2 linked regions of the Anolis sagrei genome follow. The protein of the gene in region 2 purifies or fractionates together with the protein of the main gene of each other region. This does not show direct contact. Links are inferred from orthologs where the notes say so. Each region holds a gene or a part of one and is shown on either strand. Other genes may lie near its edges.

What was found. Proteins that work in one complex are often made in the same cells at the same time.
Region 1: the proteins of DAP3 (region 2) and YBX1 purify together in Homo sapiens (co-immunoprecipitation; 3 studies listed by BioGRID and IntAct, with this or other methods). This does not show direct contact. The link is inferred for Anolis sagrei from reciprocal best matches to the Homo sapiens genes DAP3 and YBX1.

What each region holds. Positions count from the first base shown.
Region 1 is NC_090033.1:17,323,592-17,331,303, reverse strand, and holds the start of YBX1 (Y-box-binding protein 1), read right to left. Parts: upstream 3,098-7,712; 5' UTR 3,083-3,097; coding exon 2,662-3,082; intron 1-2,661. UniProt on the Homo sapiens protein: DNA- and RNA-binding protein involved in various processes, such as translational repression, RNA stabilization, mRNA splicing, DNA repair and transcription regulation.
Region 2 is NC_090032.1:8,027,683-8,034,931, reverse strand, and holds the start of DAP3 (small ribosomal subunit protein mS29), read right to left. Parts: upstream 3,220-7,249; 5' UTR 3,045-3,219; exon of another isoform or gene 2,872-3,044; intron 1-2,871. UniProt on the Homo sapiens protein: As a component of the mitochondrial small ribosomal subunit, it plays a role in the translation of mitochondrial mRNAs. Involved in mediating interferon-gamma-induced cell death. Displays GTPase activity in vitro.

The DNA of each region.
Region 1 (7,712 bases), on a different chromosome or scaffold from region 2:
AGAAGAGAAAGAATGGCGGGAGGAGTAAGAAAAAGGAAAGAAAGGGGGAAAGTCTGAGGGAAGGAAGGCAAGGAAGAAGAGAAAGGAAAGAAGGGACCAAGGCGGAAGAGAGGAAAAAGAAGGGAAGAGAAAGGAAGAAAGAACAAAGAAGGAGAAAGGAAAGAAAGAGCCACAGAATAAAGCCAAACCCAGGCCAGAAGACATAGATGGAGGCCAGGAAACTATACAAAGTTTGGCCCTAAGGAAGAGAAAGAAAAGTAGGGAGAAGTGAGGAAGGAAGAGAAAACGTAATCATGTGCCACGGAGAAAAGCTAAACCCAGGCCAGCGGATATAGAGATATCTCTGTATAAATAAATAGATACAGAGAGAGGGCAGGAAACTGTTCAAATCCAAAGGTTGGCACAGCTGTGAGGCCTAGTAGTAGTAGCCATGCCCAGCTTCGAGATAAGGGAGGGAAGAAAGAAAGGAAAAAGAGGGAAGAGAAAGGAAAGAAAGGGGGGAAAGTCTGAGGAAAGTAAGGAAGAAGAGAGGAAGGCGGAAGAGGGAAATGGAGAAAGGAAAGAATGAGAGGGAGAAGTGAGGAAGGAAAAGAAAGGAAAGGAGGAAAAGTCTGAGGGGAGAAATGAAAGAAGGAAAGAAAAAAAGAAAGTGAGGGAGGAGTGAGGAAGGAAGAAAGAAAAAGGAGGGAAGAGAAAGGAAAGAAAGGGGAAAAGTCTGAGGAAAGGAAGGAAGAGAGGTAGGTGGAAGAGGGAAATGGAGAAAGGAAAGAATGAGAGGGAGAAGGGAGGAAAGAAAAGAAAGGAGGAAAGGAAGGAAGAAGAGAGGAAGGTGGAAGAGGGAAATGGAGAAAGGAAAGAATGAGAGGGAAAAGGAAGAGAAAGGAAAGGGGGAAAGTCTGAGGGGAGAAATGAAAGAAGGAAAGAAAAAGAGAAAGGGAGGGAGGAGTGAGGAAAGAAGGAAAGAAAAATGAGGGTAGAGAAAGGAAAGAAAGGGGAAAAGTCTGAGGAAAGGAAGGAAGAGAGGTAGGTGGAAGAGGGAAATGGAGAAAGGAAAGAATGAGAGGGAGAAGTGAGGAAGGAAAAGAAAGGAAAGGAGGAAAAGTCTGAGGGGAGAAATGAAAGAAGGAAAGAAAAAAAGAAAGTGAGGGAGGAGTGAGGAAGGAAGAAAGAAAAAGGAGGGAAGAGAAAGGAAAGAAAGGGGAAAAGTCTGAGGAAAGGAAGGAAGAGAGGTAGGTGGAAGAGGGAAATGGAGAAAGGAAAGAATGAGAGGGAGAAGGGGGAAGGAAAAGAAACGAAAGGAGGAAGTCTGAGGGGAGAAATGAAAGAAGGAAAGAAAAAGAGGAAGGGAGGGAGAAGGGAAGGAAGAAAAAGAAGGGAAGAAAGTCTGGGGAAAGGAAGGAAGAAGGAAGAGAGGTAGGCGGAAGAGGGAAATGGAGAAAGGAAAGAAAGAGAGAGAAGTGAGGAAGGAAAAGAAAGGAGGAAAGTCTGAGGGGAAAAGGAGGGAAGAGAAAGGAAAGAAAGGGGAAAAGTCTGGGGAAAGGAAGGAAGAAGAGAGGAAGGTGGAAGAGGGAAATGGAGAAAGGAAAGAATGGGAGGGAGAAGTGTGGAAGGAAAAGAAAGGAAAGGGGGAAAGTCTGAGGGGAGAAAGAAAAAGAGAAGGAAAGGGGGGAGGGAGGGAGGAAGGAAGAAAAAGGAGGGAAGAGAAAGGAAAAAAAAGGGGGGAAGTCTGGGGAAAGGAAGAAAGAAGAGGGGAAGGTGGAAGAGGGAAATGGAGAAAGGCAAGAATGAGAGGGAGAAGGGAGGAAGGAAAAGAAAGGAAAGGAGGAAGTCTGAAGGGAAAAGGAGGAAAGAGAAAGGAAAGAAAGGGTAAAAGTCTGGGGAAAGGAAGGAAGAAGCAAGAGAGAAATGGAGAAAGGAAAGAATGAGAGGGAAAAGGAAGAGAAAGGAAAGGAGGAAAGGTCTGAGGGGAGAAATGAAAGAAGGAAAGAAAAAGAGAAAGGGAGGGAGAAGGGAAGGAAGAAAAAGGAGGGAAGAGAAAGGGAAGAAAGGGGGGAAAGTCTGGGGAAAGGAAGGAAGAAGAGAGAAATGGAGAAAGGAAAGGATGAGAGGGAAAAGGAAGAGAAATGAAAAGGGGGAAAAGTCTGAGGGGAGAAATGAAAGAGGGAAAGAAAAAGAAAAGACAGGGAGTGAGGAAGGAAGGAAGAAAAAAGAGAGAAGAGAAAGGAAAGGGGGAAAGTCTGAGGAAAAGAAGGGAAAATAAGGGAGGAAAGGAAGAGCCAGAGAGAGAGAGAGAGGCCAAAGGCTGGCTCGAGATGTGAGGCCTAGCAGTAGGCCCGAAGCCTTTCTTCTGCCCAGATCCCGCGCACGCGCACATGGAGGCACACGCACACAAAGGCTGCGCGCGCACCGGCGGCTCCCCCCTCCCGAGACCCCGCCCTCCCCCACCTGGGCCACGCCTCCTTGCTTTGGCGCACGCGCGCTGGAGGCGAAGGGAAAACGAGGCGAGGCCGCCCCCTCCTCCTCCTCCTCCAACGGCTGCTGCACGCGCTCAGGGGCAGCCAGCCAATCAGAGGCGCGGGGGGCGCAGAGAGGAGCCAATGGGAGCCCGGGAAGGGGCAGGGCAGGCCGGAGGGGAAGGGGCGCGCCTGCGCAGTGCCTCACCGATGACCTTCTTGTCCCCGCCGGCAGGGGGCGCTGCGGAGCCGTGGTGGTGGTTGCTGCCATTGCCATTCCCGCCATTGCCGCCGCCATTGCCATTGTTGTTGCCGCCGCCTCCTCCGCTGGGCTTGGCTTCGGGAGAAGCGGGGGCGGCGGGCTCGGGCGGCGCGGCGGGCGGAGAGGAAGACGAGGAGGCGTTGGAGGGCGGCGGGGGCGGCGCCTGGGTCTCGGCCTCGCTGCTCATGGCGGCACGGCTCGCCCGCTTCTCCTTCGGATGGTGACTCGAGGGGCGGGCGGGCGGGTCTCTGCTCCCTGGCTCCGGGCTCGCTCTCCGCTCCCGATCCCGATCGAACTGGCCCACAATGGCGGCGCGCGAGGGCTTAGCCACCCCGCACGCCCCGCCCCCGCCTCCCCCTCGCCCCATTGGCCCGCCCCGCTGCCGCTCAAGCCGCCCGCCCTTCCCATTCGCCCGCTCCTCGCCCTTCCCCGCCCCCTTTCGGGGGCTCCCCCGCTCTGATTGGCTCCACGACCCTCCGTGGCTGCAGGGACTTTGATTGGTCGCTTTGCCATGCCGATCAAAAGGTTCCCCCGCTCTGATTGGCTCCACGCGTCCCTTGGCCCCGCCTAACAAAAAATCCCCGCTCGGCTATGGGCTTTTCTCGCGTAGTGACTCTTATTGGTCGGGGCTTAATGCCAATCAAAGCGGTCCGCTACTCTGATTGGCTCCACACGTTCCTTGGCCCCGCCTAACCAAATTTCCCGCTCGGCTATGGGCTTGTGACTCTTATTGGTCGACATATAATGCCAATCAAAGCGTCTCGCTACTCTGATTGGCTCTACACTTTGCTTGGTCCCGCCTAACAAAATTCCCCGCTCGGCTATGGGCTTGTGACTTATTGGTCGACACGTAATGCCAATCAAAGCGTTCCGCTATCCTCATTGGCTCTACACGTTGCTTGGCCCCGCCTAACAAAAATCCCCCCTCGGCTATGGGCTTTACTCCCGCAGTGACTCCTATTGGTCGGGGTTTAATGCCAATCAAAGCGGTCCGCTACTCTGATTGGCTGTACACGTTCATTGGACCCGCCTACCAAAAAATCCCCGCTCACTCGCGCACTGACTCTTATTGGCCGGCACGTAGTGCCAATCAAAGCGGTCCGCTGCTCGGATTAGCTCCACACGTCCCTTGGCCCCGCCTAACAAAAAATTCCCGCCCGGCTATGGGCTTGACTCGCGCAGTGACTCTTATTGGTCGGCACGTAATGCCAATCAAAGCGGCCCGCCACTCCGATTGGCTTCACGACGTTTCTTAGTCCCGCCTACCAAAAAAATCCCTCGGCCATGGGCTGTCCTCTTGCGGTGGCTCTTATTGGTTGGCATGCAATGTCAATCTAAGCGGTCTGCCGCTCTGATTGGCTCCAAGGGTTTCATTAGCCCCGCCTGTCAAAATCCTCGCTTGGCCATGGGCTGTTCTCCCGCGGCCACGCAATGCCAATCAAAGCAGTCCGCAACTCTGATTGGCTCCACGTCCCTTCTTGGACCCACCCGCCCATGCGCTGCCCTCCCGCGGTGACTCCTATTGGCCGTCGTTTTATGCCAATCAAAGGGGTCCCGCACTTCGATTGGCTTTGCCTGATAGGACCCACCTATACCAATTCCCCGCCTTGATTGGCTTTAGGTCGCTCCTTGGACCCGCCCATGCAAACACCCGCTCGACTATTGGCCGGCACGTGAAGCCAATCAGGGCACCCGCCACCCCGATTGGCTCGACGTTGCCCCTTGATCCCGCCCATCAAATCCCTAATTCGGCCACTCGATTGGCTGCCACCCATTGCCAGTCAGCCAATCCCTCCTCTCCCTGTGCTCTGGCCTTGGCTGCCCTCCCGCGGGTGATTCCATTGGGCGGCACTCAATGCCAATCAAGAGGTCCCACTGTCCCGATTGGCTCTTCCTCTCTCCTTGGCCCCGCCCGTCGAAAGCTCCGCCTGGAACCTCGCAGCTGATTGGGCGAGAGCTCCAACGAAGCCACGCCTGCGGAAGTTGGATTGCCACTGCTTCTCTGCGGGGAGCACGTGGCCACAGGCGGCCTTCCAAGCCATGCTTCCCTTGGCTCAGCCTCTCAAGGCCAGAGATGGGGAAACCAAGAATAATATAGAATAATCATAGAATAATAATATATAATAATAATCATAGAATAATGTATAATGAGAATATATAATAACATAATAATCTGTAACGAAAATATAATAAAACAATGAGAAAATATTGTATATAATATAATAACCTATAATTTTATATATTAACATATTTAATATATTAATATTTATAATATATAATATAATCTATAATAATGAATATAGCATAGTTACCTCCTGGGCCATCCAGTCCAACCCCATTCTGCCAAGAAGCAGGAATATTGCATTCAAATCACCCCTGACAGATGGCCATCCAGCCTCTGCTTAAAAGCTTCCAAAGGAGGAGCCTCCACCACACTCCGGGGCAGAGAGTTCCACTGCTGAACGGCTCTCACAGTCAGGAATTTCTTCCTCGTGTTCAGGTGGAATCGCCTCTCTTGTAGTTTGAAGCCATTGTTCCCTTGCGTCCTAGTCTCCAAGGAAGCAGAAAACAAGCTTGCTCCCTCCTCCCTGTGGCTTCCTCTCACATATTTTACATGGCTATCCTATCCCCTCTCAGCCTTCTCTTCCTCAGGCTAAACTCCTTAAGCCGCTCCTCATAGGGCTTGTTCTCCAGACCTTTGATCATTTTAGTCGCCCTCCTCTGGACACATTCCAGCTTGTCAATATCTCTCTTGAATTGTGGTGCCCAGAATTGGACACAATATTCCAGGTGTGGTCTAACCAAAGCGGAATAGAGCATGGGGAGCATGACTTCCCTAGATCTAGACAGTATATAATCTATTATAATGTAGTATAATTATAAAATGATCTATAAATACAATATATAAATTAAAATATAATGTAATATAATATATAATCTCTAATGAGTATAGTATAAAATAATAAAATAATTTATAATAATATTAATATATATACGTATTTATAATATAAATATAATATATTTGCAATATATAATGTAGTCTAGAATAATGAATATAGTATAATTATAAAGTAATGTATAATTATAATAACATAATATAAGCTATAATATCCATTGGCATAAACATGGGTTGAATACACTAACAGGGAATGGCACGGAGCAGCCAGGAAAAGGAGCCTTTAAAATCCCTCCCCTTTACTATCTATCTGTATTGGGAAGGCTTTCGTGGCCGGAATCATTGGGTTCTCGTAGGTTTTTCGGTCTGTCTGGCCATGTTCCAGAAGCATTCTCTCCAGGCGTTTCACCCACATCTATGGCAGACACCTGCCTCATAGGAAACCTGCTACCAAACAGGAGCTTCTTTGTTGAGTTCCAGGACCAGAGAAGCAGATGGCGGAAACAGAAGAACGGCCTGCCTCAGGGGAGCGTGCTTGCTCCATCCATGTTCAACATCTACACAAATGACCAGCCACTGCCAGAAGGGACAGAGAGTTTCATCTATGCTGATGATCGTGCCATCACCGCTCAAGCAGGGAGCTTTGAGATGGTTGAACAGAAGCTCTCTGAAGCTCTAGGTGCTCTTACTGCCTATTACAGGGAAAACCAGCTGATCCCTAATCCATCTAAAACACAGACATGTGCCTTTCATCTCAAGAACAGAGAAGCATCCTGAGCTCTGAAGATCACCTGGGAAGGAATCCCACTGGAGCATTGCAGCACACCCAAATACCTGGGAGTCACTCTGGACCGTGCTCTGACCTACAAGAAGCACTGCCTGAACATCAAGCAAAAAGTGGGTACTAGAAACAATATCATACAAAAGCTGACTGGCACAGCCTGGGGATCACAACCAGACACAGTGAAGACATCTGACCTTGCTGCTGAGTTACTCTGCTGCTGAGTATGCATGCCCAGTGTGGAAAACATCTCACCATACTAAAACAGTGGATGTGACTCTTAATGAGACATGCCACATTATCACAGGGTGTCTGCGCCCTACACCACTGGAGAAATTACACTGTTTAGCCGGTATTGCACCACCTGACTGACATCCGCCGGGAAGTGGCAGCCAATAGTGAAAGGACCAAGGCAGAGACATCTCCAGCTCATCCCTTGTTTGGGTATCAGCCAGCACGTCAACGACTTAAATCTAGACATAGTTTTATAAGATCTACAGAGACACTCGCTGGAACACCTCAGCAAGCAAGAGTCCAAAAGTGGCAGGCTCAAACCCAGCACCTCAACCAATGGCTGATACCAGATGAGAGACTCCCCCCTGGGCACACAGAAGACTGGGCGACTTGGAAGGCGCTGAACAGACTGCGCTCGGGCACCACGAGATGCAGAGCCAACCTTCAGAAATGGGGCTACAAAGTAGAATCCTCGGCATGTGAGTGCGGAGAAGAGCCAACCACTGACCACCTGCTGCAATGCACCCTGAGCCCCGCCACATGCACAATGGAGGACTTCCTTGCAGCAACACCAGAGGCACTCCAAGTGGCCAGATAGTGGTCAAAGGACATTTAGCCAGTTACCAAACTCACAAGTTGTGTATTTTTCTGTTTGTTTGCTTTGTTCTGTTAGAAATGTAATATAATGGACTGGCTGCTCTGACACGACAAATAAACCCCAGAGGTTGTGAGGTCTGTTCGAAACTAGGAAAATGGGGTTTATATACCTATGGAATGATGTCCAGGGTGAGAGAAAGAACTCCTGTCTGTTGGGGGTAGGTGAGAATGTAGCAATTGGCAAACGTGATTAACATTTAATGACCTAGCAGTTTCAAGGTCTGGCTTCTTACTGCCTGGGGGGAATCCTTCGTTAGGAGGTGTTAGCTGTCCCTGATTGTTTCTTGTCTGGAATTCCCCTGTTTTTGAGTGTTGTTCTTTATCTACTGTTATGATTGTATGTTATTTATTCCGGCTTCCTGCCTGTCTCTGCGTATTCCAAAGGGAGAGGCAGGGAATGACACAAATCCCTTTTATTTACAAGGGGGA
Region 2 (7,249 bases):
CTGTGCCACCGGGGGGATCACTATTATTACATTTCCATTATTTTACTCTATTATTATTATTATTACATTTGTTATTCTACTCTATTATTATTAGAAGGATATCTAAGTTGGACATATGGTCCAAATTAGATATCCTTTGCATTGAAGGAGGTTAGAATAATGGTTTAATTGTAGTTGGAGAGTTTTATCTTAAATTACAGTTTTATGAAAATATTCCAAAACATTGAACCTACGGATGCCTCAATTAATGTAATTTTATTGGAATCTATTTTTATTTTGAAATTTACCAGTAGCTGTTGCATTTCCCGCCCTCAGCTTTTACTCGAGTCAATACGCTTCCTCAGTTTTTTGTGGTAAAATTAGGTGCCTCGGCTTATATTTGGGTTGGCTTATACTTGAGTATATACGGTATTTGTGTATATTTTCATTTATTTGGTATAAAAAGTAATTCTCAAAGGCCTATGCTCTGACATACCATTAAAAATGATCAGCAATTGGGGAGGGCATGCTTCCACAACGTGGGCATACCTGAAGCAATCCCATCTCTCACTGTTGAACAAACCTTATGACATCCTTTCAAATATTTAAACCTGGATCTCATGTCTCCTCTCAACCTTCTCTTCTGCAGGCTGAACATTTCCAACTCTTTGGTGAGCAGTGTCCTTTGGTTTTGGAGTTGTAATTCACCTACATCCAGAGAACACTGTGGACTCAAACAATGATGGATCTGGACCAAACTCGACACGAATACTCAATATGCCCAAATGTGAACACTGGTGGAGTTTGGGGAAAATAGAATCTTGATATTTGGGAGTTGTAGTTGCCGGGATTTATAGTTCACCTATGATCAAAGATCCGCCTAGTCAAAGCCATGGTATTCCCTGTAGTAACCTACGGATGTGAGAGCTGGACCTTAGGGAAGGCTGAACGAAGAAAGATAGATGCTTTTGAACTCTGGTGTTGGAGGAAAGTTCTGAGAGTGCCTTGGACTGCGAGAAGATCCAACCAGTCCATCCTCCAGGAAATAAAGCCCGGCTGCTCACTGGAGGGAAGGAGACTAGAGACAAAGTTGAAGTACTTTGGCCACATCATGAGGAGACAGCAAAGCCTAGAGAAGACAATGATGCTGGGGAAAGTGGAAGGCAAAAGGAAGAGGGGCCGACCAAGGGCAAGATGGATGGATGGCATCCTTGAAGTGACTGGACTGACCTTGAAGGAGCTGGGGGTGGTGACGGCCGACAGGGAGCTCTGGCGTGGGCTGGTCCATGAGGTCACGAAGAGTCGGAACGAATGAACAACATGATCAAAGAGCATTCTGAACCCTACCAACGATGGAATTGAACCAAACTTGGCACACAGTTCTCCCCTGACCAACAGAAATACTGGAAGGGTTTGGTGGGCAGTGTTCTTTGGTTTTGGAGTTGTAGTTCACCTACATCCAGAGAGCACTGTGGACTCAAACAATGATGGATCTGGACCAAACTCTCCAAGAATACTCAATATGCCCAAATGTGAACACTGGTGGAGTTTGGGGAAAATAGAATCTTGATATTTGGGAGTTGTAGTTGCCGGGATTTATAGTTCACCTATGATCAAAGATCCGCCTAGTCAAAGCCATGGTATTCCCTGTAGTAACCTACGGATGTGAGAGCTGGACCTTAGGGAAGGCTGAACGAAGAAAGATAGATGCTTTTGAACTCTGGTGTTGGAGGAAAGTTCTGAGAGTGCCTTGGACTGCGAGAAGATCCAACCAGTCCATCCTCCAGGAAATAAAGCCCGGCTGCTCACTGGAGGGAAGGAGACTAGAGACAAAGTTGAAGTACTTTGGCCACATCATGAGGAGACAGCAAAGCCTAGAGAAGACAATGATGCTGGGGAAAGTGGAAGGCAAAAGGAAGAGGGGCCGACCAAGGGCAAGATGGATGGATGGCATCCTTGAAGTGACTGGACTGACCTTGAAGGAGCTGGGGGTGGTGACGGCCGACAGGGAGCTCTGGCGTGGGCTGGTCCATGACGTCACGAAGAGTCGGAACGAATGAACAACATGATCAAAGAGCATTCTGAACCCTACCAACGATGGAATTGAACCAAACTTGGCACACAGTTCTCCCCTGACCAACAGAAATACTGGAAGGGTTTGGTGGGCAGTGTTCTTTGGTTTTGGAGTTGTAGTTCACCTACATCCAGAGAGCACTGTGGGCTCAAACAATGATGGATCTGGACCAAACTCTACAAGAATACTCAATATGCCCAAATGTGAACACTGGTGGAGTTTGGGGAAAATAGAACCTTGACATTTGGGAGTTGTAGTTGCTGGGATTTATAGTTCACCTACAATCACAGAGCATCCTGAACCCCACCGATAGAATTGGTCCAAACCTCCCACACAGAACCCCCATGTGGGCCACAGCAACTCGTGGCAGGGCACGGCTAGTAGCTTTATAAACAAGGTATTGTCGAAGGCTTTCGTGGCTGGAATCACTAGGTTCTTGTGGGTTTTTTTCGGGCTATAGGGCCATGTTCTAGAGGCATTTCTCCTGACGTTTCACCTGCATCTATGGCAAGCATCCTCAGAAGTAGTGAGGTCTGTTGACCTCACTACCTCTGAGGATGCTTGCCATAGATGCCATAGATGTAGGCGAAACGTCAGGAGAAATGCCTCTAGCACATGGCCCTATAGCCCGAAAAAACCCACAAGAACCTTTATAAACAAGCATCTTGGTATCCCTTCAGATGTCCTCAAATACTCTCTGCTTCATTCGGAAAAAAATGTTGCACTCACAGAGCTCAACAGCAACCCGTGGCAGGGGACGGCTAGTAAACTAAACACATAAATAATAAATAGCCTGAGTACTATGAGGAGCCACCTACCTGCTTGGCCAAAAGATCTCCCTCCAGAACGCTATAACTTTGCTCTCCTGGGCGCCGCCATCTTTACTGCTCGACGGCGTGAGCAAAGCATCCCTTTCCTTGCTTTACCTACGGAAAGCCTGAAGGGACATACTTCCTTCCTCCAAAAAAAAAATACGTATTTGAATACTTGCTTGGGTCTGTGAAGCTTGGTTGGCAGGTTGAGGCGTGTGTGGGTAGTGTGATGGTCAAGGCGAAGGCAGGCAGAAGGGCGCGCGCGAAAGGGAGGGAGATGTGATTGGCCGGCGGGGCGGTTGATTGACAGAAAGAGGAGAAGGTCGTTACAACCAAGCAGAGAGAGAGGGGGGGGGAGAGTGGTGGGCGTGGCCAAGGCGCGCTCCCTGGCGCACGCGCGTTGGCGGGGAGAGTGCGCGAGGCGGCGGCGGCGGCGGCTCGAGCGTGTCCCGCGCACGCGACGCAGGAGGCGCGCGCGCGCTGGCTGAGGTAAGGAGGCTTCCCCGCCTGCCTGCCTTGCCTGCCTTACGGCCGCGGCTTACTACACCGTTGCCGCCATTTTGGATCTGCGGCCGCCCTCAGCGCCCAGCCAGAGAGAGCGCGGGGCTGTTTGGCCCGCCGGAGCCGAGTTTGCCGCGCCTCGGGCCTGGCTCGGGCCTTGTCTCCGCCTCAGGCAGGTGGCCCCGCTCGCGGCCTGGAGGATGAGGCGGCGCGGAGGAGGAGGAGGAGGAGGATGCCTCGCTGCTGCCGTTCGGTGAGTGGCGAGGCGGGGGTCGGCCAGGCCTGAGCGAGAGGAGAGAGCGGGGACCCTGTGACAGCTAGGCCTCGGGGCCTTGGCGGAGCCTGACAGCCGGAGTCGCTCACTGGAGGCAGGCCCAGCCTCTCCTCCGGGGGTGGAACCCCTCGCGGGGCGTGTGTGGCTGCCTTCTGGCGGGGATTTGGCCGCGAGGGGTGTGGACACCCTGGAAAGGGAACCCCAAAGGCCATCCAGCCCTGCCCCCTCCTGCCAGAAAGGAAGAAGGCACCGTTTATCCACCCTCCAAATAAACAGTGTTGGAATAGATCCGTAGGGCCAGCCAGTCCAAGCCCATTCTGCCAGGCGGGGAGGCACAATCAAAACCCTCCCAGCAGATGGCCATCCAAGTTCTGAATCAGAGAATGCCAGAGTTGGAACAGACCCCAAGGGACATCCAGTCCAACCCCATTCTGCCAGGCAGGGAGGCACAATCAAAAACTTCCCGGCAGATGGCCATCCAACCTCTGAATCAGAGAATCCCAGAGTTGGAACAGACCCTAAGGGCCGTCCAGTCCTACCCCCTCCTACCATTAAGGAGGACACATTTTATCCAGCCCCCAAATAAACAGGATTCCAGTGTTGGAATAGACCCTTAGGGCCAACCAGTCCAACCCCATTCTGCCAGGCAGGGAGGCACAATCAAATCCCTCCCAACAGATGGCCATCCAACCTCTGAATCATAGAATCCCAGAGTTGGAACAGACGCCAAGGGCCATCCAGTCCAACCCCGTTCTGCCAGGCAGGGAGGCACAATCAAAACCCTCCCAACAGATGGCCATCCTCTGCATAATAGAAAATCCATCCAGTCCAGCCCCCAACTGCCATCAAAGGAGGACACTATCAAATCCCTCCTGGCAGATGTCCATCCAGCCTCAGAATGATTGGATCCTAGCATTGGAACAGACTTTAGGGTTAATCATTCCAACTCCATTCTACCAGGCAGGGAGGCACAATCGAAACCCTCCCGGCAGATGGCCATCCAATCTCAGAATCATAGAATCCCAGAGTTGGAACAGACCCCAAGGGCCATCCAGTCCAACCCCTTCTGCCAGGCAGGGAGGCACAATCAAAACCCTCCCAGCAGATGGCCATCCAACCTCTGAGTCATAGAATCCCAGAGTTGGAACAGACCCCAAGGGCCTTCCGGTCCAACCCCATTCTGCCAAGCAGGGAGGCACAATCAAAACCTTCCCAGCAGATGGCCATCCAACCTCTGAACCATAGAATCCCAGAGTTGGAGTAGACCCTAGGGGCCTTCTAGTCCTGCCCCCTCCTGCCATAAAGGAGGACACATTTTATCCAGCCCCCAAATAAACAAGTTTTTAGTGTTGGAATAGACCCATAGGGCCAACCAATCCAACCCCAACCAGTTTGCCCAATTGGGGACGGGCAAACTTCAGCCCTCTAGGTGTTTTGGATTTCAACTTCCACAATTTGGAATGGTGAAAGTTGGAATCCAAAACACCTGGAGGGCCGAAGTTTGCCTATACCTGCTCTCAATCATAGAATCCTAAAGCTGGAACAGATCATTCAGTCCAACCCCAAGGGCCATCCAGTCCAACCCCATTCTGCCAGGCAGGGAGGCACAATCAAAACCCTCCCGGCAGATGGCCATCCTCTGAATCAGAGAATCCCAGAGTTGGAACAGACGCCAAGGGCCATCCAGTCCAGCTCCCATCTGCCATCAAAGGAGGACACAATCAAATCCCTCCTGGCAGATGTCCATCCAGCCCCTGAATGATCAGATTCTAGTGTTGGAATAGACTGTAGAGTCAATCAGTCCAACTCCATTCTGCCAGGCAGGGAGGCACAATTGAAACCATCCCGGCAGATGGCCATCCACCCCCTGAAAAATAGAATTCCAGAGTTGGAACAGACCCAATGGGCTATCCACCTTCTATTTAAAAGCCTCCAGAGAAGGAGACCATCATCATCATCATCATCAATATATAGAACCTAGTTGGAAGAGACCACAATGGTCATCCATTCCAACCACTTTGTGCCGTAAAGCAAGACACCATCAAAACCCTCCCAACAGATGGACACAGGAGACTCCATCATCATCATTATTAAAGATGATGAATATTATTATAGAATCCTAGCATTAGAAGAGATCTCAAAGGTCACCCAGTCCAAACCCGTTCTGCCATAGCAGGCACAATTCGAGCTCACTCAACAGTTGGCTGTCCTGCCTCATAGAACCCTAGAGTTGGAAAAGACCCTAAATGCCATCTAGTCCAAAACCCTTCTCCCAGGCAGGAAGACAAAATCCAAGCCCTCCTGATAGATGGTTATCCAGCCTCTGCTTAAAAATCTTTAGAGAGGGAGACACCACCATATTCCACCAGGAAGTTCTTCCTAATGTTTAATTGGAATATCTTTTCCCACAATTTGTATCCATGCCTCCTTGCAATAGTTTTGAAGATGTTTGCCTTTCACCTGCCAAAGTCTCTTGTTTCGCTTGTTTTTGCACCTGATCCTCATGCACGCCAGAACCACAAAACAACACTACAAGAATTCCATACACATGTTGGAATTGCCTTCTCTCAAAGATTTTAAGCAGAGGCTGGATGGTCATCTGTCAGGAATGCTTTGATGATGATGATCTTTTTTTATATGCCACTTTTTCTCTCTTAAAGAGACATGATTGTATTTCCTGCCTGGCAGAAGGGGGTTGGAACGGATGGCCCTTGGAGTATCTTCCAACTCTATACTCATATACGAACATAAAGTATTCTTGCATTCTTTTATTTTTTCTTTTGGATCTTTCAGCTTCATTGGAGAGGGGGTGTAGACTAGCATGTGTATTTGTATCTCATCGGGCTATGTGTTTAATTTGTGTAGATACATTTTCATAGAATCATTGTGTTGGAAGGGTCTTCAAGGGCCATCCATTCCAAACCCTTCTGCCGTTCAGGAATGCACAATCAAAAAACTCCCAACAGATCGCTCTTTTTGGAGTTCTTGTTGCTTTGTTAGAGAAGGTTTATTTCTAGGAATTTTTGCAGATTGGTCTTGCCAGGTAGTTACACTTGCGAGGCTTGCAGCTTCGGTTGGGGGCAGGTGAGCTTGATGTTTCACTGGTGTGTGGTTAAGGTTTGCTATGCTGATATGTAGCACCCTTGGTACACTTTATATGGTGATGAAGGAAATATTTTTTTCATTTTTAAGGAAGGTTATAGATTCTTTTTGTAGGGGTTTATGTCCATGTGCATGGTTCTGGCAGTTTTGTTGACAGTGGAAAGGAATTCTGTTGGATGGATAAAATGAGAATCCTAGTAGAGGCATCCTTGCGGATGGGTTCTTAACATCCTTAACTGATTGGATGAGATTGGTCTTTAGGAAAATACTTCGATTTGTCTGAGATGTGTGGTTATATGCAAGAGAAAGATAAATTCTTTGATGCCAAGGGCCATCTTAGAGATGCTACATCTTTCTGCACAGGAAATATTTCATTTGTGGGACAGAGCATCATGTATAATGATCTGATATATATATATTCACTTGTGTGTGTTCTGTGATTGACTGTGACTTGGAAAACCCATAGTCAATCACAGCTTCTCAGAGTTTTAACACATGGCAGTAGAT